Linked DNA regions of Diceros bicornis minor. The protein of the gene in region 3 purifies or fractionates together with the protein of the main gene of each other region. This does not show direct contact. Links are inferred from orthologs where the notes say so. Each region holds a gene or a part of one and is shown on either strand. Other genes may lie near its edges. The genes, in order: CDC45, ATR, CLSPN and TIMELESS.

Region 1 (7,054 bases), on a different chromosome or scaffold from region 3:
ATTTACTTGCTAGAATTTACTTTGAGGAACCTAATGGCTACTAGCCATAAATCTAATCATAATTAGGATTCCCCCCACCCCCACCAGCAGGCCTGAGGCAAGCAACATTTTCACTGTAACTAGCTCTGGTTATACATGCAAAATAAGGACTGTTGAGGACTATAAGCACTGCAGGCTGAGGGCAGGAAAGGTTACTATTCAAAATAAAAACAAGCACATACTCTTCCCTCCTTTCTCCACATCTGACCTGTCATTAGGCCCCGCAAGCATGGACACGGAGAAGCAGCGGTACTGTGTGGAGAAGCGGTTCTGGAAGACCCGGGGAATCGGGTGGTCAAACATGTTGAAAGAAAACTAGGAGGAGGAAAGAAATGCCGGAGTTAGAACAGAACAAAGGTACATTTCTTCTCGTCAAAGCCCAAACAGGTCAGGGTAGTTAATGCCGCTAAACATCATCAAAGAACAAGATGCCCCCAAATCCTGATGGACCAGAGCAGTCTGCCTGAACACCTCCCAGCAGCACAGTGAATCTCAAATCTCTCTGTTCTACACATTCTTCCATGCCAAGTCTCATCTCTCCGATTTAGTCTCCACTGTTTTCAGATGGTGTGAACATACTAAAATATAAAACTAGCCACATCAAGCCTGTCCTTAATCTCTTTCAGCCCCCAAACACCACAGGATCCAAGCCAGACCTTGCACCCACCTCAGGGACCGGTTACTGATGGCCCCAAAATCTCCTACACCTGCCACGTCCCCGCCAGGCTGGTTCCTCCACCTGGAACACTTTTCCTCTTCTCATTAATTTAAAAAATCTCTATTTATTGAGTGCCCACTATCTGCCAGGCTCTGACTTAAGCACTCGGGAAACATCACTCTAGTGATGTCTGCTCACCAACAAAACAGGTACAATCTCTGCCCTGGTGGAGCCAACATTCAAGATGAGAGAAACAAGCAAAAGAAAATGCCTGCATGTCTGGCAGTGATGAAAGCTCTGAGGACAAGAGAGGTAAGGGACAGAGACCTCCTGGGAATGCTATTTTAGATGGGTGGTCAGGAAGGGACTCTGCAGAGACCTGAATGCCAGGAAAGGGAGCCAGGCAGAAAGCAGGGAATGGCATTCCAGGCAGCAGCAAGAGCAGGCGCCCAGTGTTTGCACCCCTTCCCGTTCTCCTGGCTTCATGACCACCCTTTCCTTGCTCCAGGAACCTTCCCTGCTCTGCCCAAGGTCTGGGCTGGTGCCCCTCCATTGTGCTCTCATGTGCTACACTGTGGTACTCCCTCCTGTTAATAAGTAAAGCCAAGATGTGGTGTCATCAAAAAGGTAAGATCTCAGCTCTTACATTGTGGATTACAATGAGGCTTAGAAAACACGTTACACAGCAATCTGGGGTCTTCTCAAAGTATTGCAATTCCCTTGATGTTTAAAAAAAAGAATACAAAATTGCACAATAGGGTATATATCCAAAAGAACTGAAAGCAGGCTCTTGAAGAGATATTTGTAGACTCATGTTCACAGCAGCACTATTTACAATAGCCAAGAGGTGGAACAACCTAAGTGTCCATTGAAGCATGAATGGATAAACAAATTGTGGTATATCCATACAATGGAATATTGTTCAGCTTGAAAAATGAAGGAAATCCTGTCACATGCTACATGGAGGATGAACCTTGAGGACATTATGCTAAGTGAAATAAGCCAGCTACAAAAAGACAAATACTATATGATTCCACTTATATGAGGTCCCTAGAGTCATCAAATTCATAGAGATAGAAAGTAGAATGTTGTTGCCAGGGGCTGGGGGAGGGGAAGTGGGAAATTGTTGTTAGATGAGAAAGTTCTGGAGATCCATTACACAGCAATATGAATAAAATTAATACTACTGAACTGTATATTTAAAAATGTTTCAGATGATAAATTTATGCCATGTGTTTTTTACCGTAAGTTAAAAAAAACCCTCACAATAGACAAATATTTCTTGACTTGATTCCAAATATAAATGAAGTAGAGAGCAAGCCATCTACTGACAAGGTAGTTTCCTGGCAATTCCAAAATTAGTAAGCTGAATCAGCTATCTTTCTAATATGCAAATACAGCATGCTCCTGATTAAGATCTCAAATGGCTCTTCACTCCCTGGAGCTCCAGCATAGCAGTTTTCAAACCTTTCCCTCTCTTTTTTTAAACAGCATAACTCTGTTCAACAAAATCTTGGCCAGAAGCAGGACAAATGAAACAGGATTTCCAGATGAAAGAAGGGAGAGAAGCAGGCACCTCCCTGAGCCCTGTCACTACACTAACTCATGTAAGCCATTTCTTCTCTTTACAACAGGACAGAGTAAAATACACACAAAGTACTTAATATCCCTAACAATCTGCCTTCAATCTACCCATGAACCTGACCTTCTGCCCCTCTCTGCTGCTCCCAACCCCAAGTTCTACTTCCCTTTACACCCCCAATGCCTAGCATATTACCAAGACCTATCAGGTATTCAATGTCCATTAAGTGCATGGACTTGAGAATAGAAACGTGATTCAACACTGACATACCTGGGATAAAATCTAATAATCATTCCTTGTTTTTATGAAAATAAACAGCTGACACTGAGGCAATGCTGTACAATGGTAATGAGCCTGAGCTTTGCAGCCAGATAGACTTGGCTTCAAATTTCCACTCCTCACTTTTGTGACCTCAAGTAAACTATCTACCTCTTTAAACCTTAGTTTTCTCATGGTTAAAATAATGATCACCCATGCCTCCAAGTGCTTCATAAGGATTAAACGGGATGAGTTGTAATGAGCAACTGTAGGTGTTAAAAGAAAAAGCTGCGTAATGGAAAAAGGGCCAGTAAATATTAGCTACTACTGTTATCTTTACTGAATCGCTTAAATAGCCGAAAGCATCATCACACTCGAGGCATGACCAAGAAATACTGGGCTTGAGGAACTGGGGTAAGGGGATGACCCCGCGCATTCTCACTGGGAGCCCCTGATTCTGCTCCTCGCCCTCACAACCTTCCAATTAATTTGGTGTTTACGGAAACATGCTACGTGTCTAGCACTTGCAACTAGAAGCTTCCTTTTTCCCCTCAAGAAGTTCAAGTCCAACTGAGGAAATGCGAACCATGCTCCGCACAAGCGGAGAGAGCCGAGGCCGTTAGCGGTGAAGGGTTCGGCTCCAGCCCGAGGCGCCCCGGACGGGCAGACGGGCCGGACTCCGGCCAGGGTGACTCGACATCTCCGTAGCCGTCACGTCCGCCCCGCCGGGCCCCGGCCTCGGCCCTCAACCCCAGCTCCCGGCCGCAGCCCCAGCTCCCGGCCCCTGCCTGGCCGCGCTTACCATGATGGACACCTCTGCCTCGCTGCCGCCGCTTCGCCCAGGGAACGTAACGATGGCAGCCCGCCGACCGCTCTCCTCACAGCCGCCGCCGCCGCCTCAGCTCCGACCGCGGGGAGACTCACCGGAAGTACCGGACCTGAGACCCGGGGGGAGGCGCCGAGGGCAGGGGTCGGCTGCAAAAGAGAAAAAGCCAGGCAGAGGCGCTAGGGTCTAAAATTTCCCCGGAAAAAGCACTAAAATACCCTTTCCTAAAGTGTGCTCCACTCTCGAGTAATTTTTATAATTACTTTAAATTACATTTTGATAGTACTCCCCTCTAGAGGAGTTTAGTGGGGCCCATTCTCCTTACTGACTACACTACCCAGAATGCATGTAGACCTTCCGGCCTTTGCCGCAGCCATCCAGGACTCGGGCGGAAATAAGCTACACATCCTCCTTCAAACTAGACCGAGAGCCTAGTGACATCGTAAACTGACGCCCCCGTTCGATGTATAAATTAATTTAATTCATGACGAAAATGTTTCTTTTTCTTGGAGCTCCCAGTGGGAGGCTATAGGCTTCTCTTCCCAAAGTAAAGATGTCCACCGAGCGTCGGGTTTCTGGGTAAACGGGAGTCAGAGGTGAAGTGGACAGCCCTGTTTGCGTCCCGCCTGTTGATGACGCTTTTTTCGGTCAGGGCCGGACTGTTCCAGCGGAATGGCGGAGCGCTACTGCCCGCCTCAAATATGCTCCAATCAAAAAGGAGGAAAGGCTGGGCACTAAGTAGCTATTGGTTGGCCCCTAGGCCAATCGGAAGAGCTCTGATTTGGCGGGAGTCTTGACCGCGGCCGGAGCTCTCCGTGTCTCAGAGAGAGCTCTGGGCGTCCGGCCGCTGTGGCCATGTTCGTGTCCGATTTCCGTAAGGAGTTCTACGAGGTGGTCCAGAGCCAGGTGACCCCCTTTCTTGGACCCTGAAGCCTTGTCGGGGGGAAGGGATAAAGGGGAGCGGCCGTGGGAGGGCGGGAGGGGCCCGGGTTCGTGTCGCTGCGCTCAGCTCGCCGCTCTTCCCCCGACAGAGGGTTCTTCTCTTCGTGGCTTGGGACGTGGACGCACTGTGCGCTTGCAAGATCCTTCAAGTGAGCCCTGCGGACCCTGGGAGGGTGGGGCCGGGGCGAGAGGAGAGGGTGCAGGGTGGGCACGGGCGGGTGGTGGGGGCGCAGGGTGGGCAGGGAGTGGGGCGGGAAGTGAAGGCTTAGATTCCGGGAAGTGAAAGCTTAGCGTCCGGGGGGAACAGGGTGGGGTAGGCAGCCGGGCGGGAGGTGAGGAGCGGGGTAAAGAACCCCCTCTGGGGTGAGAACTCAGGCTCCCAGTGAGGCCTCCGGTGAGGGCCGGAGCAACGACAACTGAAAGCCGGGAAGGGGGACTCTGAGAGATCACCTCCCTGGCAGGAGAGTATTGGGCAGGTTTGAGAAGGATTAGGCAAAAGGCAGAGACTAGTTAGTTTTTTTGCAATAACCTAGGCAAAAAATGGCTGCATTCGAGAGACCTATAGACCCATAGTGGCTTCTCAAATGTGGGATTTGAGACAGAGGAATCTGTGACAACTGAGTGCACAGTGGTGTCATAAGCAATACTGGAAATACAGGATGCAAGATCATTGGTTCAGTTTTGAGTGTGGTGCGATGTTTACAAGAACTTTGGTCAGGCACTTGGGTCAGGAACTACTTTAGGTCTCAGAAGACATAAAAATAAGACCAGCTTTTCTCCCAATATTTTCCTTTGGTAGTTTTTAAAAAAATTCAGCAACGTTGAAACGTTGAAAGAATGAACAGTGAACACTCATATCCCCATTACCTGGTTTCTCCTATTAACATTTCACTAACCTTACTTTATCCATGTCATTTGTCTCTCAGCCACTTGTTTTTAACTGCATTTCAAGGGAAATTGCAGACACCCTAATTAAGATAGGTTTTGAAAATCATCTCTCTCCAGGCCCTGTTCCAGTGTGACCACGTGCAGTATACGCTGATTCCAGTTTCTGGGTGGCAAGAACTTGAAACTGCATTTCTTGAGCATAAAGAACAGGTATGAGAGATATATTTTAGAATGATTAGGCTTTTTTTACTCAATTGCAATTTCTCAACACTTAGCATTCTTTCTATTTCCACAGTAGGTTGCATGTATATGTAAGTATCAACTATATTAGGCAGTACGGAAGAGAAAACTGAGCTGTATGCCCGTGTGAGTTGTGGAGACAAAATGGACAGCGAAAGAAAGATAGTGAATACGTATAGCCTTTAACTTTGAACTTGTGTTGCTGACATTTCTTTCTAAGCTGCTTGGAATTTAGCAGTTAGTTTTTGATATGGCCTAGTTAAAATTATTTTAGATTAGACCATTATTTTACATTGTCTCTCCAAGAAAATGTATTCCAGTTTCCAACTAGAAATCTAGGAACATATCTTCTCCCTTTGTAATTTAAACAGTAGAGGCCAGTACTCCTACCACCTCTGTATGGAGCTGTAATGAGATGTGGGACATCTTAGAGCCCACTGCCCCACAGCTGCCTGGAGTCTCTGGCCACATCTAGGATTGTCTGGCAGAGATAAATCCTTGCCTGGAGCTCATGTCATCACAGAAGGGACCTGTGCCAATTCGGTGTTTATAAGGAAAGGATTCTCTATAGTGATAGGATATAATAAAAGACTTAATTTAATATTTAGGTGCCCATTAAGTATAGGCTGCCCAAGATTTGCTGAAAGTGTAAACCTGTACAATGCTATTAGTATGGAGAGGCAGCACAGCAGACTGAGGTCTGGAGAGGCCCAGTTATGCATTTGAAGTTTTGATCTGCTCCACATCAGCTTCTTGCCCCTGTGCATGAGACTCGGCCATGCTGACCCTCTGCATGCTCCTCAGCGAAGTGGAGACAGCCGTGGTGCCAGCGTGGAGCCTATCTCACGGTGTCATCATGAACATGAAATAGCATATGGTATATGTTAAAGCTCTTAACACAGGCCGGCCATGGCCATTTTTGGAGCCTCTTGCTGTCAGGGCCTTGCCAAGTGTCGGAGGCTTGATGTTTCTCAGCGGAAGGACTCAGGCCTAGTATGCTGAGGTAGAGGGCCTCCGCAATGCACTTAGTGCACAATGTCTCTTCTTTTTTCAGTTTCGTTATTTTATCCTCATAAACTGTGGAGCTAACGTAGACCTATTGGATATCCTTCAGCCCGATGAAGACGCCATATTTTTTGTATGTGACACTCACAGGCCAGTCAATGTCGTGAATGTGTACAATGATACCCAGGTAACTAGGGCTTTGGGGCCCACGCCTCCCCCAAGTTCTCCCATTGATCTGACTGTACCTTTTAATGCCACAGACAACATTGCACCTGGTGTTCTTGGCAAGGCACGTATCCACCTCCCATATAGGAGTTGGAGCAGCCTGAGGACAAGAACTTGTCTGTCTTTGATGAGAAGCATGGCACTTTACCCTTGGAGGTGCTCAGAATGCATTCGTGGAATTTGCTTGACCTGGGAGGTGTAGATACCAGAAGCCTGCATTGAGTCTGCCCTTGGAGCTCAGGCCAGCCCAGTCTCATTGAATATCGGAATCTCAGAGGAGTTTGCTCTATAAATGGGGCTTGGACCTGCCCTGATCATCCAAGGGGTGGTGTAGGGACCAGCAAGATAGCAGTGTGAGCAGTGTGAGAGGCCACCGTGAGCCTAAAATGGC
Region 2 (7,946 bases), on a different chromosome or scaffold from region 3:
AGAGATCAGCTGAGAGGTTACTGTAATAGTCCAGATCAGAAATTATGGTGATAGCAGTAGAGATGGTGAGAAGTGTATTTTTTTGTGTGCATGTGAGGAAGATCAGCCCTGAGCTAACATCCGTTGCCAATCCTCCTCTTTTTGCTGAGGAAAAGATTGATCCTTGGCTAACAACCGTGTCCATCTTCCTCTACTTTACATGAGACGTCGCCACAGCATGGCTTGACAAGTGATGCATCGGTCCGCGCCCAGAATCCTGGCCTGTGAACCCCGGGCTGCCAAAGCAGAGCACGAGAACCTAACCTTTAGGCCACTGGGCCAGCCCCCAGAAGAGTATTTTAAAGGTAGGGTTGACAGGACTTGTTGATGGATTGAGGGATAAGAGAAAGAATCAGGGCTAACTCCTATGCTTTTGGTTGGTACATATACAATAACCTGGGGAAGGAACAGGTTTAAGGACAGTAAATCAGGAGTCCTGCTTTGGATATGTTAATTTTCATTTCCAGGTGTAGATGTTAAGTAAGCAACCTAACATATATCTCTGGGCTAGAGATAGAAATTTGGGAGTTATCAGCATATTGATGATATTTAAAGCACTGGGACTAAAGTTACTTAGGAAGAGAGTGAAGATGAAAAGAGGACCAAGGAAATAGCCCCAAAGCACTTAGAGAGTCAAGAATGATTCCCAGACTTCTGGTTTGGAAAAATGAGTGAACATGGTATCATTTACTGAGATATCCCTACCTCAGTGAATGAGAAGAATTAAAAAAAAAAAAAGCTTGGGGAGACTTGGATATGTGGAGAATTTGTACTGGATATGCTGAATCTCAACTGCACATATAACACCCAGGTAAAATTGCTAGTATATAGTTCTCTATAGTGCTACAGGAGATAGATATGGTTTGGAGAAACACACTTGGAGTCGTCAAACAGCAGATGGTAGGTGAAGGCAGGAGAGTGGATGAGATCACCCAGAAAGACTTTGCAGAGAAAAGAGTGCTAACAGCAAACAACAGAGGAGCAAAATTTAGCCCTGAGAGACAGAGGAAGAGGAGCACACACATTAGAACAGTGACATTTCGCTTTTTTCCGAAATCTAATTGTCGTAGTCAATTAAGGAAAAAAAATTGGGGAGAAGAGGCCTTGATGGTATGACTCTGAAGTCTAGCTCCGATAACTGTTGTCTCTCTGACTTTGATTCCTCAATCTCTGTGACTCAGTTTCTTAACAAATAGTGATAATATTTGCTTCATTCTATATCATGAAGCTACCGTGATATTGAACAAGCTTGAATGAAGCAGTTGCAATGAAAAAGTCATGACAATTAAAAACTAGTATTAGACATTTCTCTTTGGATCAGTTTTTCTATTCTTTCTCTTAGAATGGCTACAAATGAATGAAATGAAAGGTAACACAAGCTCTATTATGAAAGAGACTGTAAATAAATCCAAGATGCTATTATTTTTATTAACAAGTCTCACAGAGGAAGAGAGAATAGGGAAGAGAAGTATTAATCAGTTAATTCTACATGAAAGCAAAGTAGGGAAAACACACTGAGCTTCATGCTGAGCTTGAATAACGAAATGTGTCCATCAACTAACTAAAATGAGCACTTGTATTCATCTTTTAGAAAGCTAGATGTTACCCGACTAAACGTTAACGCAAAGTGTGCTTGCAACATGCATGCAAAGAAAAATTCACACACACACAGAGGATGATTCAGTTAAGACAAGCATGGTCTTTTCATTTAGCCCCTTATTTACGTAATTGAGGAAGACTAAACGTCCTTGTATGGCCAACAAGTGGAGGTGAACACAACTGCACCGCGAGTAGAAAGGCAATTAAATATCCCAGGGGCTTAACCACCGTTTTGACTTCGTTTGTGCTAAGTTTTCCAACAGTTTAAGAAACTGGAAAGCAGCTATTCCAATGGGTAGTTCCAGTGCAGTGGTGGTACAAGCCCACTTATTTCTTGTTCACAGTGGGTTACAATATTAAAAAAACAAACAAAACCCCTGCCTTCTAGTCTCGAGGCCTGTTTGAGGGACGGCCGCGTGGATTAAAGGGGACAGGAGCCATCAACACTCTCCCCTCTCTTCCGGCAGGACACTGGTTCACAGGATGTTACTCTAGGATTTACAGAAAACAAGCTTTTGCAAGTGAAACAATATTAAATTGTCTTCAGATTTTGGCAACATCCTGTGCACTTTCCATTTTGTGGACGTTGCGGCCGATCCCCGGCTTTTGACTAAAATAACGGATTGGCGACCGGGTGATCAATACCGAAGGGGTCCCATCTTCAGAACGGCCTATGGTTTCACCTCGAAAATAGAAACTACCTTTTCGAGCAACTGGCCTGCCTTACACAAAATCAGAACCAGCGATTTTTTCTGTTAAGGGCAGTTTGGGTCAAAACATAAAGCTAAAAACCCAATTCCTCCACGAGCGCTCCTAAAGACTAGAAACTGGGGAATGTCTACGGGTCAAGTCCCTCATCTAAAAGGAGAGAGGCTTTCGAGAAGCGAGTGAGTGGAGTCAAGTGACCAGAAAAGCGGTCGAAGGGACACTTCCCCCCAGCTGCAGAGGGCAGCCCCGGCTGGGGACGAGCGCCCTCGCGCCGCTGAGGTAAAGTGCGGCCGGCAGACGCCTCCCTCCCCTCGGCCTGGCTTCCCGCAGGTCCTTGGAGGCGCCCCGCGTCACCTGAACCGCCCCTCTGAGGGGAAGCGCTCCGGTCCGCCGCGGAGCATCTCCACAGGGGCCGGGGCGGAGGGGATCGGAGCCCGGACGCGCGCGGCAGGGGACGGAGAGCACGTGAAACGCCGGCCGGGCCGGCGGGGAAGGACCTGGGATCCAGGACTGCCGGGCTCGCCCTACCTGCCCAGCTCCCGCAGGGCGGGGATCATGGACGCCAGCTCCAGGCCATGCTCGCCCATGCTGAGGACGCGCGGCACTCGTCAACGACGCCGATGCGGACTGCCGGCGTCTCCACAGCTACTCCGGTGGGAAGCCGCGGCGCCCGACGGGAACTCGCGGGGTCCAAAACTCCTCCCGGAAGCCGCCGCCGGCCCCGCTCTGGAGGCGGTATTTCGTTTCCGCGTAGGACCCGGGGGAGGCCGGGAGGCAGAAAGGGGCGGGGCGAGCCGGTGGCGCGCGCTGCGGCCACCTTTCCCTGCGCGGGTTCCGGGTTAGCTCGGCGCGCTGGGGGGGCGGGGTTCGCCGAGCTTGGGTTTTAGCGGCTGCGCTCCGTGCCTCCTAGCCTAGAAGGCTCAGCGAAGCGAGTCCCGCGGATCTCGGGGAGAAAGGGGCTTGGCGGGCCCCAGCCCAGACTCGGTCGCATCACAGGTGTGAGAACTGAGACGATTCAGCGAGTCAAGGCCACCACTAGATGCCGGGTCTCCCCACGGCGTAAGGCCCTCAGGTTCCTCATTTTCCTACCGCTCTCCTGGCATCCTTGCTGAGAGATGCGGGGCAGCAGGTGGGATCCTCCCTGTCCTTTCTGTTTCAGCAGCTTTTTTCAACTTGAAGTCACTCTTCGGTTTCCTTGAGGATTCTCCTAACCTTTAATATTTCAAAAGGGATTGAATTGTATTTATGTGTGTCTCATCAGATCAGCAGCAGTACACTGAATGTCACCGTTACGGGCGTCTACCACCGACGATTTAATTTTTAAAGTAAATCAATGCATTGTGGCTGTAGACGTTTTCTAGCTCAGCCCAATTTGCTTATTCGAAAGATGGCCATCATAAGAGACTGTTAACGTGTAAAAATTATGTATTTAATCAGGCAAAGCCGTGCAGTGTGCTTACCTTTGTTCTTTGGCACGTGAGGAGAATTGTGGATGCAGTATCTAAAAAAATCAAAGTGATGGAATGACAGCCAAATATGCGCCTGCCTCAGGGATTTGGCATTTGCTGTGTACCCTCTACCTTGACCTTGAACACCCCTCTCCCATCGCCCCTCTTCAGACGTTTGCTGAAATGTCACCGGAGAGCCTCCTGTAGACCTGCACACACGCTCACACTGTGTTTTCCCCTCTATCCTGCTTTATTTTTCTTCATAGCACTTGGAAGCAAGCGATGTATTACATACTATTTTATCGACTGTCTCCTCCAATTAGAATGTAAGCTCCTTGAGAGCAGGATCTTTTTTGTTTTTTTCACTGCTTAGATACCCAGGACCTAGAACAGTGCCTGGCACATAGTTGGTGTTCAGTAAATATCTGTTAAGTAGTTGAATGCCAAGGTGGAAAGAACGTAAGATTAGGAGTTAGAGGGCCTGCGCAAGTTCTCATTCCATCTGCTAGAAACGATATTACCTCGGGAAAGTTACTTAACCTCTCGGACTTCGCTTTTTCATCTATAAAATGAGATTGATGATATCTGCCTCACATGATTATGGTAAAGATTAGAATACCATTTCTTAGTTAAGATGAATGAAATATACAACACATGCCAACAAGGATGAATCCTGAAAACGATATTGAGTGAAAAAAGCAAATTGCAAAGGGATACATAATATTGTTATATAACTTACATACCATTTTAAAACCACAAAATAAGACTTTGTGTGTTATGTATACATTCATATACGATAAAAGTATAAAAACATGGTTGGGAAGGATGTACATCAACGCCAGGAGAGTTGTACCTCTGAAAAGAGAGAGAAGGAAATGAAATGATGAGGTTTCAACATATCTGTGAGGGTTTTCTTTTAATAGGATCTGAATTAATCATGACAAATTTAACATTTGTTATATTTGGGTGAATGTCATATTACTATTTTTATCTGTATGGTTAAGATATCCCAAAATGTATAAAAAATAAATATGCTTTTTAAAGCTTAAGTTAGACAACACATGTGAAAAACAATTTATCAACTAAAAAGTAACAAATGTTAGGTATTATTTTTAGATCATATGAAGAAAGATTGTAAAAATTACAATGTTATATGGGAGGCAATAGCGGAATAGCATTGTAATTCTAAAACACAGTGTAAACCCCTAAATGTTAGAAACAATAGAGCTTTGCGAATCCAGTTTAATTCAAAAAGTGATTTTTGTGCAAGGTATTGTGTTAGGTACTTCTATGACACAAAAATGAGTAAGACAGTTTCAAATAGTATACAATCTGGATGTAGAAAGGGTATGATAAGAACCCAGAAAATTAAAAGCAAAGCAACATCTATGAATGCCATAAGAGAGATATGAACAGCATGCACTGGAAAAATAGAGGAGGCGGCTGGCCCTGTGGCCTAGTGGTTAAGTTCTGTGCGCTCCGCTTTGGTGGCCTGGGCGTGGACCTACACCACTTGCCAGTGGCTGGGCTGTGGCTATGACCCAGGTACAAAATAGAGGAAGATTGGCAACAGATGTTAGCTCAGGGCGAGTCTTCCTCAGCAAAAAAAAAAGAAAAAGAAAAATAGAGGAAGGAGAGATCATATCTACTCCAGTGGAAAGGAGGTGGATCAGGAAGGGGCTCAAGGAGAATGTGGCACCACATCTGAGATGAGATGTGAAAGATGAGCAGGACTTGAAGAGACAAAGATTGGAGAAAGGACTATATTCTAACTAGAGGCAGCACTATGAAAAAAAGCATACTGAGGGAGAGAAGAGTGGTCCAGTTTGGCTGGTGTTAGGAAACATTTAGAGTCGTCCAACTGAGACGCTTCTACAGACCTCAGTGAGCAATGGAGAGGCACTGGAAGATTTTATATAAAGAGCGACACTGTCAAAGCTACACTCAAATCTAGCAGGAAGGTGCAGGACAGAATAAAAGGAGGTGGTAGGTCATTTAGAGAATCAAACTTCTTTAGCAGTGTATCAATAAAGGAGCAATTGATGTCATTCCAAGCAGATATCCTCCCTCCAGTAGCCATATGCGTCTCTCCTCCACCAAACTTTTTGAATTTTTCATACAGGCTGACTATATTTCCTCATCTACCACTCAGTCCTAACCTACATACACCATACTCTTTGCCCTGTTCGCCCCCTCTTAAACACCTCTCACCAAAGTCACCAATGATTTTCATACGGCTAAATCCAAAAGATGCTTATCAGTTCTTTCCTTTCTTGACCTCTCAGTAGCATTTGACAACATAGACTAATGCCTCCTTCTTGGAACACTGACTTCCTTTAGCCTACAAGATTCATTCTCATGTTAGCAACACTTCCTTTGCCATCCCCTTAACTGTTGGTATTCCTCGGGATTCTAACTTAGCTTCCTTTTTCTTTTTTATGCCTAGGTGACCTCATTCACTCTTAAGGCTTCAATGAACTTTCCACCTGCTGGACACTCCCAAATTCTTTGCTTCTGCTCAGATCTCTCTCTGAGCTTTATATTTCATATGTCTACCTTCCTACTGATTTTTTTTCCCTTGAATTTCTCCCAGGCACTTTATTTTTGTTTAACTTTTTATTATGGAAAGTTTCAAATATATACAAAAGTAGAGAGAATAAAATAAGGAACCCCCTTATGCTCATCACCCAGCTTCACCAATCAGCATATGGCTGCTCTTTGTTTCGTCTATAACCACCCCTCCCATTGCCCCTCTCCCTAATTGGATTATTTTAAAGAAAATCCCAGACATCATATCAATTTTTCTGTAAATACTTCAGTTCATATCTTTAAATGGTAAGGACTCAATTCTACCTCCTAAATATCAAACCTATCCACTTCCCTCCAAATCCTATTACCACCATTCTAGTTTCAGATAATCACTGTCTCTTGCCCAGATTACTTCAGCAGTGTTGTAGGTTGCCTCTCTTCCTTTGGGCTTTTCCCTCCAATCTATTCTCTTCACTGCGAGATTCCCCAACTTTTTTTGCTCACTCAACAATATTGTTGAAATTTTAAAAGTATGCACCCTAATATGTGCATATTTATTTATTAACCATATATATTTATTACTATATTTTAATATACATATAACTCATGATAATGTAAATTTGGACATAGTACAACTGTTGATTGGTTCCTGTCTTCCTCTCACCGCCCCCTGCCCTTTTATCATTTGGTGTGGTGGAGTGTGAAGGGAGAGTGAGGCAGGAAGAAGAGAGGCTGAGGTGGGTCCCAGTGTCCTTGGGACGTTAGTATTTCCTAAGCCCCAGTGTCCCAGATCAAGTCAACCAAGGGGCGCCAACCAATGTCCTCCTGGAAGTTTCATACAGCATGTATATGGAATTGTCCCCATTGTTGATTAAACTAGGATGGGAAATGACCATCAGGTGGCACCACAACCCAAGTGAGACCAAGATGCAGTTGGTTCTCAGTCAGATGCCCAAACTCCTGGCTGCCTAGCTCTGCAAGTTCCATCATAATGCATTGGATGTTTTTTACCCATTTATGGTATTACGTGAGGATTTTACTGTATAATTCACATTATAGTATAGATTAAAATAGAAATCTTCAAGGAATGAGATAAAAAATATGAACAATTTTATAAGTTTCTTTCTATACCTGAATGGTTCAATGTACACCTCCTTGGTACAGTTATACTCAATAATTTGCATTTAAATACTTTTTAAAAATTATTTATTAGTTAATAGTTTGCATTTTTAATAATCTATAAAAATTTGCTCCTAGGTGATGCTCATGTTGTTTGGAGTTCTACACAGCAGACGGAGCAACCTTTTCAAAACCTAGATATGATTATGCCATTCCCTGCTTCAGCAGTTTGACTGTGTTGAATATTGTCAGACAGATTAATGGGTAGAAAGGGGCACATGTCTGTTGGTTGTCATTGGATAAAGCTGCAATTAACAGACCAACATAACCATAAGTCAACATCCCGAAACTTAATAAAGCAGAATAAATGATCCTGTACAGCCAAACTGCACTGATGCACTTGTCCCGTTTAGTAGACACACTGCAAAAATCCATTACCAAACCTATCTAGTTCTTGTAGAGGAACTTATTTAAGAAACTTAAAAGTAAAGCTATTTGTCTTCC
Region 3 (7,064 bases):
TTTTGTTCCCCGTTTAACTTTCAGCCTTCGTTCTGGCCATTTCTCCCCCACCCCCACCCAAACACACACCCTATGCTCTAGTCATACTGACCTCCTTTCAGTTCCCCAAACACAACATGCACTATCAAGCCCGTACACATACCTTCTCCTCCCTGGGCCAGCCTGGAGAATTCCAACCCATCTTTGAAACTCAGTTCAGGAGTCATCACCCCCTGACTTACCCTAGGCAAAGTCAGTTTCCCCTCTCTCAGGGCCCCAGAGATACTTGTACACACTTCCACTATTACACACACTTATTTACTTGCCTGTTGCCAATCAGCAATGGGAAGGTCTCTGAGAACAAAACTGTATTTTATTTATCTTTATATTCTCCATATCTAGCAACTTAAAATTGGTACTCAAGGTTTTTTGAATGACTGCATGAATATTTGATAGGTACTTTAGGTTGCCAAAAGTTGTGGTAAAGGAACTTCTGCATACAAAATAGCTGATGGTGTATGTGCTGTCATGCCTTGGGAAAAGACCCTGGTATTTTTTGTTTTTGTTTTTTTAGGCCATGGTATTTTAATCATTCACTCAACAATTATTTATTAAGCACCCACTATGTGTCATATCCTGGGCCATTTTTAAAGGTCGGGGGTACTACATTAAGCAAGAAAAAACATTAAGGCCTTCAAGGAGGGTACTCTCCAAGAGAAGCTTTATAACTGTACGGAATTACAGTACTGAAGTTATTTTTGAAAGCAGATTCTGGGAGATGCAATTATTTCACCGTTCCAAAGGGAAATTTAAACAACTCTTCGAATAATTTTAAAATGAAAAAAAAAAAAAAGGTTTTAGGATAGAGTGGCTACAGGCAATAGACTGATATGATTAAGCTCTGCCACATGGTGGCAGTGCTTCTCCAGGGATGGAGATTTAGTGGCCTAGGACTCCGGAAAAGCAAGCAGTTCTCACACTTTCCTCCAGAGGAATAGTAGTACTGTAATAAAATTTAATATGGTAGCCTTTCTCAATTTGCAGAAAAGATGAAGTAAAAGATATAACTTAGCCAACTTTCTCCCTCCAAACTTCCGTAAGCCTTTGGAATCTGCTTTTGTTTGCCTGCCAGCAAACAAATAAATAGAACTTTGGAATGGGCTGAGCATGTTAAATTCCATGGTTTACTTTTTCATAGATATGTAATCTCAGATTTGCTTTTTTATATTGATTATGTGTGATATAATAATAGATCCTACTAGTGAAAACATTTCCTAATTTATATGACCAGATTAAGTGTGTCAGTACTGCAAAGTATTTCCTGTAGAGTACCATACTTCTAGGTGCTCTGCCAATTGAACTCTTTTGAGAATCATGATCTGAACCAATGTTCTCTTTTTTTTTTTAATAATTTTATTTATTTATTTTTCCCCCAAAGCCCCAGTAGATAGTTGTATGACATAGCTGCACATCCCTCTAGTTGCTGTATGTGGGAGGCAACCTCAGCATGGCCTCAGAAGTGGTGCGTCGGTGCGCGCCCGGGATCCGAACCCAGGCCGCCAGCAGCGGAGTGCGTGCACTTAACCGCTAAGCCATGGGGCCGGCCCGTTCTGAACCAATGTGTTCTAATTACAAACAAGGAAACTAAGGCTCTGAGAAGCTAAATGACTTAACGAAGTTCACAACGCCATTTACAGGAGAGGTTCAAGCTAATTCCTATAAAGTGAACACTCCAGATCTTTCCCTCGCTGCCATCTATCAACTTCATAAACAGAGCTTGTTGGATGATTAACCTTGAGAGTCAAGAGACAGAGAGGAGTCAAGGTGACTCCCAGGTTTCTGAATTGGTGAGTGATGGATTATGGCGCCATTCTCTCACCACAATTGAGAATACAGACTGCTAATTCCAAATACAGACTTGCTTTAGCATGGCACAAATTAAAATATAGAATAAAAGGTTTCTCCTTCCTAGCTCACCCCTTCCACCCATTGTTCAAATCAGAGCTCTCTCTCTTAGTTTCTCTGGTGACTGAAGAGGTGCTCCCCAAAGAGAGGAAAATGCTAATTCGTTCTGAAAATGTTACTACCAGGACTATCTCATTTATTCACTTCTAGAGGGGGTTCAAGAAGAAGAATAGAGTTGTCAAGTGATGGAATTAATTAGTTCAACAAATATTGATCAGTTTCCCTACCATGAGCCAGGTATGTTCTAGACCCTTGGTTCTCAAAGCGCGGTCTCCATACCAGCAGCATTAGCATCATCTGGGCACTTGTTAGCAAAAAATTCTTGGGCCTCACAACAGACATTCTGAATCAGAAACTCTGGGAGTGGGGTCCAACAATCTGTTTATACCAGCCCTTCGGATCATTCTGATGCATGCTCAAGTTTGTGAACGACTATTATAGATAGTGAGGATATGGTGTTAAAGAGAACAAAGTGCTTGTTCTCTTGGAGCAACTATATACAAATAGATAAAAATAAAATTTCAGGCAGAGGTAAGTGTTATCGGGGAAACCAGAACAGGAGACGGAGGGAGAATGTAGAGGGTGCTCAGGCAAGATGTCCCTGGAGTATGAGCTCTGGAGTCAGATTGAGCAGGGTGTGAATATTGGCACCACCAGTTACTAGCCCTTTAAAGGTTTAGTTTCCTCATCTGCTAAAATGGAGATAATAATATTACTTACCTTACACAGTTACTGTGAAGATTAAATAAGATAATGTTTGCAAAATTCTTGCAACTGTTTCTGTCACAGGGTAAGCCCCCAATAAGTGTTAGCCCTCCAAATATGAGGGAGGAGTGCTATAGATAGATATTTGGGAATCAACAATGTAGAAATTAATAGTAAAGTGGGTGAAAAGGTGGATAGACTGAGATGTGAGAGAAGAGGATGGATGATGGGACCCTGTTGATGGGAGCAGAAGTGGGTTGGGAAGTGGTGAGGAGGTGAAGAAATGAAGAGGAGGAAAGAGAACTTTTATTTGAACCCAGCTAAAGCTGGAAACTTGGAAGAAGAGGCCAGTGGAGAGGGTGACTAACCATCCTGGTTTGCCTAGGACAGAGGATATTCCCAGGATGCTAAAACTGGGAAAGTCCTGGGAAAATTGGGGTGAGTTGGGCACCCCACCGGTGGATAGACTCATGGGGGTAGGGTGGGGTTAGTAACTACTGTGATCTTTCTTTTTTGGTGCCCTCTGATCCCTTCCTTACAGTAATCTTGTAAAGTATCTTCCGGTAGCTTGACTCAACTGGAAGGGCAAGGGAGCTCTGCCAATGCAGTGGGGAGAAGTCAGCCTTGGCTGGACAGAGCAGGATAAGGAAAGACAGAGAATAGACCTGGAGGGGCAAAAAGATAGTAACCAGCACAGGGACAAGGGATAGAATTGTCTGGGATTAGTCTGACTCCAGACCTTTTATTCTCTTACCTGCCTTGTCCAGAGAGGGTAGGAGTGCGATGGGTGGGTGTTTTCTGCATCCTCAAATTAACCTTAAATAAAGTTATAAAGGTTATCCAAGGACATTCTTTGGTATCTGAGCAGCCCACACAACTTTTCCTTTTTGATGTTCAGTGGTGTGAGTGCCTTGTACAAGAAGGGGCAGGAAGGATCTAGCTACTCCAGGGATGGAGGTCGTGAAGAAAAGCCCCACAGGGGCACTCAAGTATGGGACAAGGATGCCCTTGGGTGCCCAGGTATCTTCTTCCAGCTCACTTCCCGCCTGAAGGGCTGACTCCTCAAATTGCGCTTGATGGGAGCTGTCGCGCTATGGCAAAGGGCAAAGGTCAAAGTCCACAACTGCATGGTACAGCCTTGCAAGGCCAGAGGGCCCGACTGCCCGGCAGCCAGGACACCTCTAGCCTCCCCTAAACTCAGTTGACAAGAGGACCCTCCACCCGCCAACCCAACCCTGATTACAGTACTGTATACTTGTAGGGCTGGCCGAAGGCGCTTCGTGATTGGTAGGACGGGATGGGGGCGTGGCCTCATGTAGAAAACCTCCTCCGGATTGGTGCAAATCGTCGAGGGCGGGGCTTGCACTCCGGCTGGGCGCGAAAGCTCGAACGGCGCTGCGGGGCTGGAGACGGCGGGAGCAGCTGCGCCCCGGCTCAGGGAACCGGAGAACTGCTTCGTCCGGAGCGGAGCGCTGGGGAGGCCAGAGTCATGACGGGCGAAGTGGTTTCTGAGGTGAGTTCATGCACATGCCTCCATCCGCGGCTGCGGGGGTCCGGCGCCGAGGGGTGGGGTGGGAGCGGGGTCGAGCCGGGCAAAGCCAGCGGCGGCGTCTGGGATGACTACAGCTCCCGGCGTGCTCTGCGGCGGCTCGGCCTCGCGGCCCCCCGGGATCAACCCGCTGTCCCCGGGGGCTCGCGACTCCGCCGTCCAGTCCTGGAGCTGGGGTTCTTGCCTCGGCCCTCTCGGTCTTGTTGCTCCTGTCTTTGTGGCGCGCCCAGCCCCTGCAGCCGCCCACCCGCCCTCCCCTTTGGCGCGTTTCCTGCCGAGGGAGCTCTTCCTCCTACAGCGCCCCAAAAGAGGAAATTCCAGGCTGAACCGGGCCGCTGGGATGCGGGGCGGGATTCTGTGTCAGTGGACGGCGGGGGTCTCAGGGAATTCGACATTGGCTCTGGAAGGGGCCTTTGAGGTCATTACACGGGGCCCCGAGAGGGGACGTACAGTCTCACGGCCTCCTGGCTGGTAGCTGACTGGTCGGTGGCAGAATTTGGCGGAGAAACGACATCTGTTTCCAGACCTGTGTTTCACCCTGAGGCCGGGGCTAGGGTGAGACACTCGCCTTGGGAGCAAAATTTAAGGCTTCGCCAAAAAAAGTAATCACGATAATATTTTAACGCAATATTTTTTAAATAAAAATTAATGCAAAAGATTCCATGATTTGATTTTGAACAAAATATCAAACTTTTAAATAAAGACAAGATCCGACCTTGCGCTTGCACTGCTCTGCCTAACTCACCTCACCCTAATCCCGGCCCTGGTTCCAATAAAACTTTACTTACATAAGCAGGCGGCTGACCTCATGAGCCATAGTTTGCCAATTTGATTTTTTCTTTTAAATATTGCACTAAGATATTATCTTGATTACTGATGGGTTTTTGAGACTCTCTCTTCTCACCCTTTTCCTGGCCCTGATTGTTGCTAGTACCACTGCAAATTGTCTGGATTGGAGTGAGTAAGAGCATCACCATGTACCTTATTGAATACAGTTTCTGTATGGACAGTCTTACTGCTTTGAATTGTTGGGAGGATCATCAGCACATACATGATGATCCTCAGTGATACCTCGGTGCACATTATCTATGGTTATTATTTTAATAATTGTACCAAACATTCAAATCAGTTTTTTTTTTTTGCTGAGGAAGATTCGCCCTGAGCTAATGTCTGTTGCAAATCTTCCCCTATTTTGTATGTGGGCCGCTGCCACAGCATGGCCACCCACCAGCAGTGTAGGTTTGCGCCTGGGAACTGAACCCCGGGCCACCAAGTGGAGCGTGCTGAACTTAACCACTAGGCCACTGGGCTTGCCCTCAAATCAATTTAATAGTTGTTTGAGAAACCATTAGGATGATGCCTTGTGCCCTGTTACATTACAGATGTTAGTATTTTCCCCCTTATTAATGAGTTGATTCAGAGCCCTAAGAACACGGAGGAGGTAGGAGACCTGGCGTCTAGGATCAGCTTGGTCACTAACTGGTTAAGTCACCTAACACATCCTACTTCTGAGATTTTTTTACTTGTGACTTTTAAAGTGGTTTTATTTGTAAAATTTCAAACATATGCAAACGTAGAAAGGCTGGTATAATGAACCCATCACCTAACCTCAACAATTATCAAATCATGCCAGTCTTGTTTCATTTATACCCCTACCCACTTTCCCCCTCACCGGATTATTTGGAAGCAAATTCCAAACATTATTTCATCCACAAATATTTCATTATGCATCTCTAAAAAATAAGGGCTTTCCAGAAAAGATAACCACAATATTATTACCACACCTAAAAGTTTTAGAATTATTGCTTAATATTAAATATCTAGTCAGTGTTCAGATTTCTTTGACTCATACATATACTTTCAATTTGTTTGAGTCGGGATCCAAACAAAGTCTGCATATTGCAAGTGTTAATATGTGTGTGTATGTATATATCTTAGCTCTCTTTATAGGTCCCCCCACCTCTTTTTTCTTGCAATTTGCTGTTAAAGAAACCACACAGTTTGTCGTATAGAGTTTTCCACATCTGGATTGCGTCTCTGTGATGTTACTTGGATACACTGAGAAACAGTTTACACAGAAAAAGCATAATAAATGCTTAATTATTTTCATTTATTTACCATTACTCAAAATAAAGGGTTGGTTCTATAGCATCCTTCAAAGGTGGACAATGAATTTTTGTTTCTTTTTTGTCCAGTAATTCTTAATATCATCCCTTCATTGAACCATTGTATGGTTTTTTTCCTTATTTCAGCCTGATGATCCCATAATGATTTGTGTATTATTATGTACTTAGTTTTCTTTCACCTGCTGGTTAATGTATATTCTCATTTTCTAGGTTCACCTAGAAATCAATGATCCAAAACTCATTTCACAAGAAGCAGATAGTCCTTCAGACAGTGGACAGGGCAGCTGTGAAACAATTGGGCCCTTGAGTGAAAGAGGTTTGTAATAGTCAGTACTTTTATTTTTAGGAATAGAATGTGGGGGCTTGGGTTGTAAGTGGATCGAATTAATTTCATTATTCTCTTGATTTATTACGTTATTAATGCCTAACCTTATTGTTTGTTTTATTTATTATAAAAGCAAAATAATGGTGCTTGTACCTTTTTGAAAATAACCCATTTCTATTATATTATTGAATGTATGAAATGTCTAGAAGCTACCACATTGCCTGGTTGAATACATTCGTCTTATAATAAAAGGATTTTTAACACCTGCCAGAAGGATTAGAACAACTTTACACATTGTAAATATATATAATTACATGTCTCAGTAAGAGACATTTTTCCAGGGAAAATGTTTTTCAAAATGTATTTTTAGATTTGCTTTGCTACAATCAGTTCTTGGTGATAGTTACATAATTTC
Region 4 (7,757 bases), on a different chromosome or scaffold from region 3:
TTCCACCAAGAAGGAGTATTATTAGGAGAAATTAAAAGAGAAATGCAATTACTATGAAGGAGGATGTATTATCCTTCCTCTCCAGGGAACTGATGCCATAAGGGCTTCCCGCCTGGGAAGCTTTGAGGAGCTAACACTGTGGCAGCCCTAATGAGCTGCCTCCCTTCTTCTTCCTTTGCCCAGCTGCACCCTGGGGTGAGCGTGGGCCAGGCCACCACAGTGGAGATCTTCCTGACGCTCCAGTTCGTGCTCTGCGTCTTTGCCACGTACGACGAGAGGCGGAATGGCCGCCTGGGCTCCATGGCCCTGGCCGTTGGCTTCTCCCTCACCCTGGGGCACCTCTTTGGGGTAAGCAGGAGAGGGGAACAACTTCTCATTTAAGGATTCCAGGGCCCCTACACCTTTCCCAACTTTTAAGTTTCTTCCTGCCCAGCTCACTGTTGAACATGAACATTATCCACCTCCCTCTGTATCAGTCAGCACAGAGGAGTCAACTCTGCTCTAGCCCTCTCTCTCTTGTGACTGCTATGCTAGTCCTTCTGGACCCCAAGGTGGTAATGCATGCATCATGGGTAGATGTGGGCTTTGCTGATGGATCCGTAGTCTGTCCCCAGATGGAGCATCAGTGCCTTCACTCCATTGTGGGACCCCCATGCAGGTTGTCCTTCCCTACTGGCTGCTGGCTGGAGGCAAGGTGCCAGCCTTCAGGGGCATGCGGGTTGTGGGAAGAGGAGCTGAGGTGGAGTAGGGGTAAATGTCTCAGTTACAACTGTGTCTCTTGCAGATGTACTATACTGGTGCAGGCATGAACCCTGCCCGCTCCTTTGCTCCTGCCATTCTCACCAGAAACTTCACCAACCACTGGGTGAGTGAGGGGAGAGGGGCAAGATCCTGCAGCCCTCCTGGATGGGTATAGACTGCAGGTTCCAGGTGTGGTTCCTGCTTTCCCTCTGGATGTGTGGACTGTTCTACCACCACTCAACACTAAGGGGGCTGTCACAGAGTTTGGCATGCCTGTGTGAGCAGGATTCTTTATTTTGCTAGAAAGAGAGGCTCTTGCTCATATTGTTCCTTTGCTGGTTAGTCAGGCATTTTTATTAAGTATCCACTGGATTCCAAAACTAGTACTAGAACAGACAACTGAACAGGAAGACAAAAACTTCTACTCTCAGAGATCAGGTTGTGTATGAGCACAAATGGGCCTGGGCTCGTCCCTGTTCTAGCACTTTACCAGCCTTGTGTGTGACCATCGCAAATAACTCAATCATTCTGTGCCTCAGTTTCCTTACTATAAAATGGGGGTGTTACAAAGAATAAGTGTGAAAGCTGTATGTGTGAAATATTTAGCACAGAATCTGGTATGGAATAAGTCCTCAATAAAAATTGGCAGGCCGGCCCCGTGGCTTAGCGGTTAAGTGCGTGCGCTCCGCTGCTGGCGGCCCGGGTTAGGATCCCGGGCGCGCACCAACGCACTGCTTCTCCGGCCATGCTGAGGCCGCGTCCCACATACCGCAACTAGAAGGATGTGCAGCTATGACATACAACTATCTACTGGGGCTTTGGGGAAAAAAAGGAGGAAGATTGGCAATAGATGTTAGCTCAGAGCCGGTCTTCCTCAGCAAAAAGAGGAGGATTAGCATGGATGTTAGCTCAGGGCTGATCTTCCTCACAAAAAAAATAAATAAATAAAAATTGGCTATGTTTGTGTTGTTTGGCCATACGCCAGCCAAACATAAGAAAACAATTCAAAAAGTTTTTCAAAGCTGTACACCCATTTTCATGGTAGCATTATTCACAATAGCTAAAAGGTGGAAGCAATGCAAGTGTCCCTCACAGATGAGTGGATAAACAAAATGTAGTATATACATACAGTGGAATAGTATTTAGCCTTAAAAAAGAAGGAAATTCTGATGCATGCTACTACATGGATGAACCTTGAGGATATTACGCTTAGTGAAATAAGCCAGTCACAAAAAAGACCAGTACTGTATAAGTCCATTTATATGCGGTATCGAGAGTAGTCAAATTCATTGAAACGAAGCAAAATGGTAGTTAACAGGGGCTGGGGAGAGGGGAAAATAGAGAGTTGTTGTTTAATGGGTATAGAGTTTCAGTTTTGCGAGATGAAAAAGTTCTTGAGGTTTGCTGCACAACAACATGAATATACTTAACACTGCTGAACTGTACACCTAGAAATGGTTAAGATGGTAAATTTTAAGTTAAGTGTATTTTACCACAATTAAAAAAAATTTTTTTCAAAGCAATATATAAACTACTGCAAACTGATAACAACAAATAGAATATACATGTGCTAAGAAGGTGTGGGATAAGGTATAATTTGATGAGTCAGAAAAGAAATGGTGATTTTTGAGGTGCAGGCAGTGGAGCAGTCCAGAGTTTAAAAACAAACACTGATTTCTGCTTAAATAGTGCTCAACTGTGTGCGCCAAGTGCAGGATGCCTGTTTTCCACCGATGGGGTTGGAAAAAGAGCAGCCTTGTTCCTGGTCCCCTCCCCAAATCTGATTACTCCTCTTCTCTTCCTACAGGTGTACTGGGTGGGTCCAATCATTGGAGGGGGCCTGGGCAGTCTCCTCTACGACTTTCTCCTCTTCCCCCGGCTCAAAAGTGTTTCTGAGAGACTGTCTGTTCTCAAGGGTACCAAGCCCAATGACGCCAATGGACAACCAGAGAGCACAGGGGAACCTGTTGAACTGAAGACCCAGGCCCTGTAGAAGCTCCAGTGGCATAGAGGGAGTAGGAAGCTTCCGGGTTTACATGGAAGGGCTGACCCAGCCCCTGGATGAAGAAAGAGGCTGTGGGGAGGGGCATGTACTTCTTTATTTTTTAATTTATGTGTGTGTGTTTTTTGCCTTTTGCTGTGTGAAATCTTTCAAGTTGCATTCATGAGCTGGTTGGTACAAACTTCCCTTCCTCCCCATCCCACCTCTCTTTGCCGCTGTGTGTGCATGATTGTGTGTATGAATGTGACTGAATGTGGCTGTGTCTGAGTTCTGGGGCATGGCAGGAGAGGTAGGGAAGGGAAAGGAGGTGTCATCCTATACCTTCCTCTCCCAACCCGGTGTGCTGAGCATAGGGAACCAAGATCTTAAGCTTCTGGCCTTCACCCTGCTGCTAGTCCTGTGTATGGCTCTAGGTTTCTGAGGGAGCAGGGAAGCAGGGAGTACTCCTCACAAGAGGCAGGTGGAGAGAAGTGGAGGAGACAAAGCATTCCAAGGGTTGGGAGAAGGGGCCGGGGGCAGGGAGAGAGGAAATGGAGGTACTAGCCCCAGATCAGGCTGCAATTGTACCAGAAAATTTTGGGAAAGTTAATCGGAGAATGTAGTGTATTTATCTCAGGGATGCTTGCCCCAGGGACTTGGGTGGGGAAGTAGCTCTGAGAAAAGCGAACACTGGACTTTGAACTGTTCTGTAAAGCCACATAAACCTGTGGACATCCACTGGCTGGGTTTTGTGTTCATTCTGGCATGATGGATCTCTTTGGAGGCCCTGGGCCAGCAAGCTCCCAACCTAAACAAGGGGTGGGTGAACCTAGAATCTAGAAAAATTAAGTAGTTTAACTGATCTGCCTGATATTCCTCCAGCGTGGCCTCCAGGCAGGTGGTACTTAAGCCCCAGAAGAGCTCCCTAATGCCAAAACAGGAAATGGGATGCCTGGAGCAAATGCAGAGGTGGGTAGTGGGCATAGCAGGGAGAGGCTTAGACCCTCAGAGTTTTAATTTACTTAGAGCAGATCAAAACATTCTTCAAATGGCATCTTTCTACTTTTATCACTAGTTTTATAGTCGTCTTTATTTTCCTTTTTTGTGTGTCTTTTCACTTTTCTCTCATCTGTCCTTCCATCTTCAGCAAATCTCTCTCTCTTTTTTTTTTTCTTGTGAGCAAAATTAGCCCTGAGCTAACATCTTTTGCCAATCCTCCTCTTTTTGCTGAGGAAGATTGCCCCTGGGCTAACATCTCTGCCCATCTTCCTCTACTTTATATGTGGGACGCCTGCCACAGCATAGCTTGATAAGCGGTGCGTATATCAGCCCAGGGAATCGGAACCTGCCAACCCTGGGCCAACGAAGCCGAGCATGCAAACTTAACCACTATGCCATCCGGCCAGCCCAGCAAATCTCTTCTAACTCTCCTTATTCCCCAGAAATCAATTCCTTGTACTAAAACGCTTAACAATTCAGGAGATAATTATTCGTTTGAACCCTATCTTCTTTTGTTGTTGGCAATATACACTCATCTCAGCAGAGGCCAAAGGAGACCCTCAACTGACCAATGAATAGTTATTGTGGATGTCTTCCTTTTAGGAGCTTCCTGCATACTTCGCAAACTTTGGGCCTGTACCTCTAGATGACAGACATCCCCGCCCCGCAAAAAGTCCACTCTTGCCGGTAGCTCAACTCTCCACTTCCTCCCAAATAAAACCTCATTTTTCTAATTAATCTTATAAGACTTTGGAATAATCCACTTGACTAGGAGAAGGGGAAGAACGTTTGTAAATTCACCTCTAATAGGACTTTGATTCCTATTTTCTTAAGTCAGCAGAAAATTCATAGCGCTGTGATTTTTGGCTCAATGTAGGGGATCGACTCAGATAAAACGGTACTTGTACTTGCTTCCCTTTTCCTTACTTCATCACTAACCGCCCTGCCCCTCGGGGTCACATGGACCAGCCCGGCTCGCCCCGCCCCGCTCGCCATGCAGGCGGGGACTGGGCCTGCCAAGCCGAGTGGCGGGAAAGGCTGTGGTCCCACGCGTGAGGGCCGGGGTTCCGCGGGGATCCTGAGCGCCGGCGGGGAGCGGGTGAGTGAGTGTGTGGGCGAGAGGGCTCTAAGCGGGCAACATCCCTTCGAAGCCGCGGGGACACTCCTGGGAGGCGCTGAGTCCCCTTTCCCGCCGCCTGGTTTGAGGGCAGGGGGCGGGGCGCGCGCTTTAGGCGCGCACGCGCAGTGGCCCACCCTGCGTCCGCGGTAGCTGCTCAGGGTTCCCCGCTCGTCCAGGGTGCTCCCTCTTCCCCGCGCCCTTCTGCACAGCTTGGTCCTCGTGCGGGGGTGGGGCTGTGAGGGGAAGAGGCTAGGACGCTCTGAAGTAGAACAGAAAGTTCCCGGGCATTTCCACCTGGCGACTCCCCAAGCAGTTCAGACGGGAAAAACCAGATGTGCAGCTTGGTGGTCAGCAGCAGTCGGAATTCCCAGCTCGCTTGACTTAAATCTTGGGTTTTCATAGGATGGATTTAACATTCTCTTCCGTTCTTTCCCTCCGGTATAAGACTTAAGGAGGATAGCCTCTGCTTGGGCTTGTTTGCTGGACCATCAGCCATTAATTAAGCTCCTTTCCTTGAGTCTCTCAATTCTTTACTCGGCCCTTCATGCTACCACTAATTACCTTTATAAAAAGGCAATCTGGTCATTTCAGATTAAATTTACAACTCCTCTTTGGCTACTCACAGTCAGGCTTAAATCCTTAGGTGGGCTGAGAGGGTCAGGGTCTTTTAGTCTGGGCCTGACCCTCTCAGCCTCAATTTCGAAAGCTCCCTCACATTTTTACTGTCTCATGCACTTGACTCCCAGCCCCATATCTGCATTGTGCTCTTTCATGCCTGGGTACCTATGCTCCTGCTGTTCCCTCTACTTGAAGTTCTGGCCACTTCTCTGCCAAATGAACTTCTCTTTCAGAACTGAACTCAGTTGTCCCTCTGAAAACCTCTATTTTTCTAGCCCTTCTAGGCCAAAGTAGTCACTTCTTTGTTTCTCTGAGGTGTTTTACCTCCCTCTATTATCAGTGCACTTAGACAACTCAGTAAAAGGTCACTGAGCTCCTAACATGCACTGTGCAGTGTGCTCAGTACCAGGTGGACAGAGGTGAATAGAATAGTTTCTGCCCTGAAGGAACTCGTAGTCTGGAAGGAAAAATACATGTAAATGAGTCCTCTGCAGTTACCGGCTGACAAAGAAGTCTGCCCTGGCTTCCTTACTCCTCCCACTCCGAACTCTCTTGAGTATTCTGATGTACTTTCACAGCGTCACATACCATTTTATAAACTGATGCCTCCAAATCTCCAGCCCCAACCTCTCTCTCAACTTTGAGACTTGTCTACTTCAGTTTAGAAAGCATTTATTGAGCACCTACATTGTTCTGGTCACAATAATTCCTGACCTCAAGGAGTTTATATATGTATATAATATATATATATATTTTGTGTGTGTGAGGAAGACCGGCCCTGAGCTAACATCTGTCGCCAATCCTCCTCTTTTTGCCGAAGAAGACCGGCCCTGGGCTAACATCCATCCCCATCTTCCTCTACTTTATATGGGACGCCACCACAGCATGGCTTGACAAGCAGTGCGTCGGTGCGCATCCGGGATCTGAACCTGCAAACCCTGGGCTGCTGAAGCGGAACACCCGCACTTAACCACTACACCACCGGGCTGGCCTCTCAAGGAGTTTATATTTCAGTGCAGTTGTTTACAGGAGATTGAGTTAGAATCACCTGAGGAGCATTTTCAAAACAGTCTTGTCCAAGACCCACCCTCTGTAAATTCTGATTCAGTCACTAGACTCTGAAAATTCAAAGGTGAATAAGAAACAACTCCTGCCCTCAGGGAATCTAAGGCTAATGGACGGAGACAGACGTTTTAAATAGTCTAAGTATTATATACAATTTGAGCTGTAAACACCATGATGGAAGTCTGTTTACGGCACAAAGTGGACACAAAGGAGAAAGAGGTCGCTTTTGTATAGAGAAATCAGGAAAAGTGTCATTTGGGCAGAGTCTTAAAAGATGAGTGGATAGACTCTAGGTGGATGAGAGAAAGGCATTCTGGGCAGAGTGTCTTGAGAGAGAAGCTTGAAAGGTAACCAGCAGGCAGATCGTGAAGAATGTTGTATTGTAGGCAATGGGGGCCACTGAAACTTTAGTTTTGTATAGTAGTGCATGCTAACGGTAAACAATTCGAATAGTACTGAAGTGAAAGATAAATATTTCTCCTACCCTAGGCCCTCCCATTCTCCAGTTCTCCTCAGAGACAATCGCTGTGAAGTTTCTTCTTTTTTTTTTTTTTTTGCTGAGGAAGACTACCCCTGAGCTAATATCCATTGCCAATCATCCTCTTTTTTTTTTTTTGGTTGAGGAAGATTAGCCCTGAGCTAACATCTGTGCCAGTCTTCCTCTGCTTTGTATGTGGGACACTGCCACAGCATGGTGAGTGGAGTAGGTCTGCGCCCGGGATCTGAACCTGTGAACCCAGGCCACCAAAGCGGAGTGTGTGGAACTTTAACCACTCGGCCACGGGGCCAGGCCCTGAAGTTTCTTGTGTATCCATTGAAGGGTTTTAAGCAGGGTGGTTATATGGCCAAATCTGGTATCCATATTGTGGATAGATTTAAGAGAACAAGACTGGAGGCAGGGAAGGAGGTTAAGAAGCAGTTGAGGAATCTAAGCAAGAGATACTCAGGACCTGAACTAAGGCAGTAGCAATGGGGATGGACAGGGGCCAGAGAGGAGATCTTAAGGAGGTGGAATTGGCCTGAGTCAGTGACTCAAAGTATTTAGGATTACTCCTAGGTTTCTTATGTGAATCACTGCACGGATAGTGTCAGTCCCTGAGAGGTCCAAAAGAGAAGTGGAGACAAACCTGGGGAGAAGATGTTCTGTTTTGGAGATGTTGATTGTGAGGTATCTTTGAGACATAGATAGAGAATGCTATTCATTAGTATAACATGGTATCGGCACCATGAAAG

What was found.
Region 1: the proteins of CLSPN (region 3) and CDC45 purify together in Homo sapiens (affinity purification with western blotting; 4 studies listed by BioGRID and IntAct, with this or other methods). This does not show direct contact. The link is inferred for Diceros bicornis minor from reciprocal best matches to the Homo sapiens genes CLSPN and CDC45.
Region 2: the proteins of CLSPN (region 3) and ATR purify together in Homo sapiens (affinity purification with western blotting; 3 studies listed by BioGRID). This does not show direct contact. The link is inferred for Diceros bicornis minor from reciprocal best matches to the Homo sapiens genes CLSPN and ATR.
Region 4: the proteins of CLSPN (region 3) and TIMELESS purify together in Homo sapiens (affinity purification with western blotting; 4 studies listed by BioGRID). This does not show direct contact. The link is inferred for Diceros bicornis minor from reciprocal best matches to the Homo sapiens genes CLSPN and TIMELESS.

What each region holds. Positions count from the first base shown.
Region 1 is NC_080774.1:32,205,825-32,212,878, forward strand, and holds the start of CDC45 (cell division control protein 45 homolog), read left to right. Parts: upstream 1-4,045; 5' UTR 4,046-4,218; coding exon 4,219-4,269; intron 4,270-4,394; coding exon 4,395-4,454; intron 4,455-5,310; coding exon 5,311-5,403; intron 5,404-6,487; coding exon 6,488-6,625; intron 6,626-7,054. Other genes in the region: UFD1 (ubiquitin recognition factor in ER-associated degradation protein 1), read right to left, coding at 222-354, 3,340-3,342. UniProt on the Homo sapiens protein: Required for initiation of chromosomal DNA replication. Core component of CDC45-MCM-GINS (CMG) helicase, the molecular machine that unwinds template DNA during replication, and around which the replisome is built.
Region 2 is NC_080741.1:11,310,303-11,318,248, reverse strand, and holds the start of ATR (serine/threonine-protein kinase ATR), read right to left. Parts: upstream 3,014-7,946; 5' UTR 2,934-3,013; coding exon 2,875-2,933; intron 1-2,874. UniProt on the Homo sapiens protein: Serine/threonine protein kinase which activates checkpoint signaling upon genotoxic stresses such as ionizing radiation (IR), ultraviolet light (UV), or DNA replication stalling, thereby acting as a DNA damage sensor.
Region 3 is NC_080752.1:50,040,465-50,047,528, reverse strand, and holds the start of CLSPN (claspin), read left to right. Parts: upstream 1-4,048; 5' UTR 4,049-4,138; coding exon 4,139-4,162; intron 4,163-6,534; coding exon 6,535-6,640; intron 6,641-7,064.
Region 4 is NC_080756.1:12,398,567-12,406,323, forward strand, and holds the start of TIMELESS (protein timeless homolog), read left to right. Parts: upstream 1-4,742; 5' UTR 4,743-4,820; intron 4,821-7,757. Other genes in the region: MIP (lens fiber major intrinsic protein), read left to right, coding at 184-348, 785-865, 2,549-2,734. UniProt on the Homo sapiens protein: Plays an important role in the control of DNA replication, maintenance of replication fork stability, maintenance of genome stability throughout normal DNA replication, DNA repair and in the regulation of the circadian clock.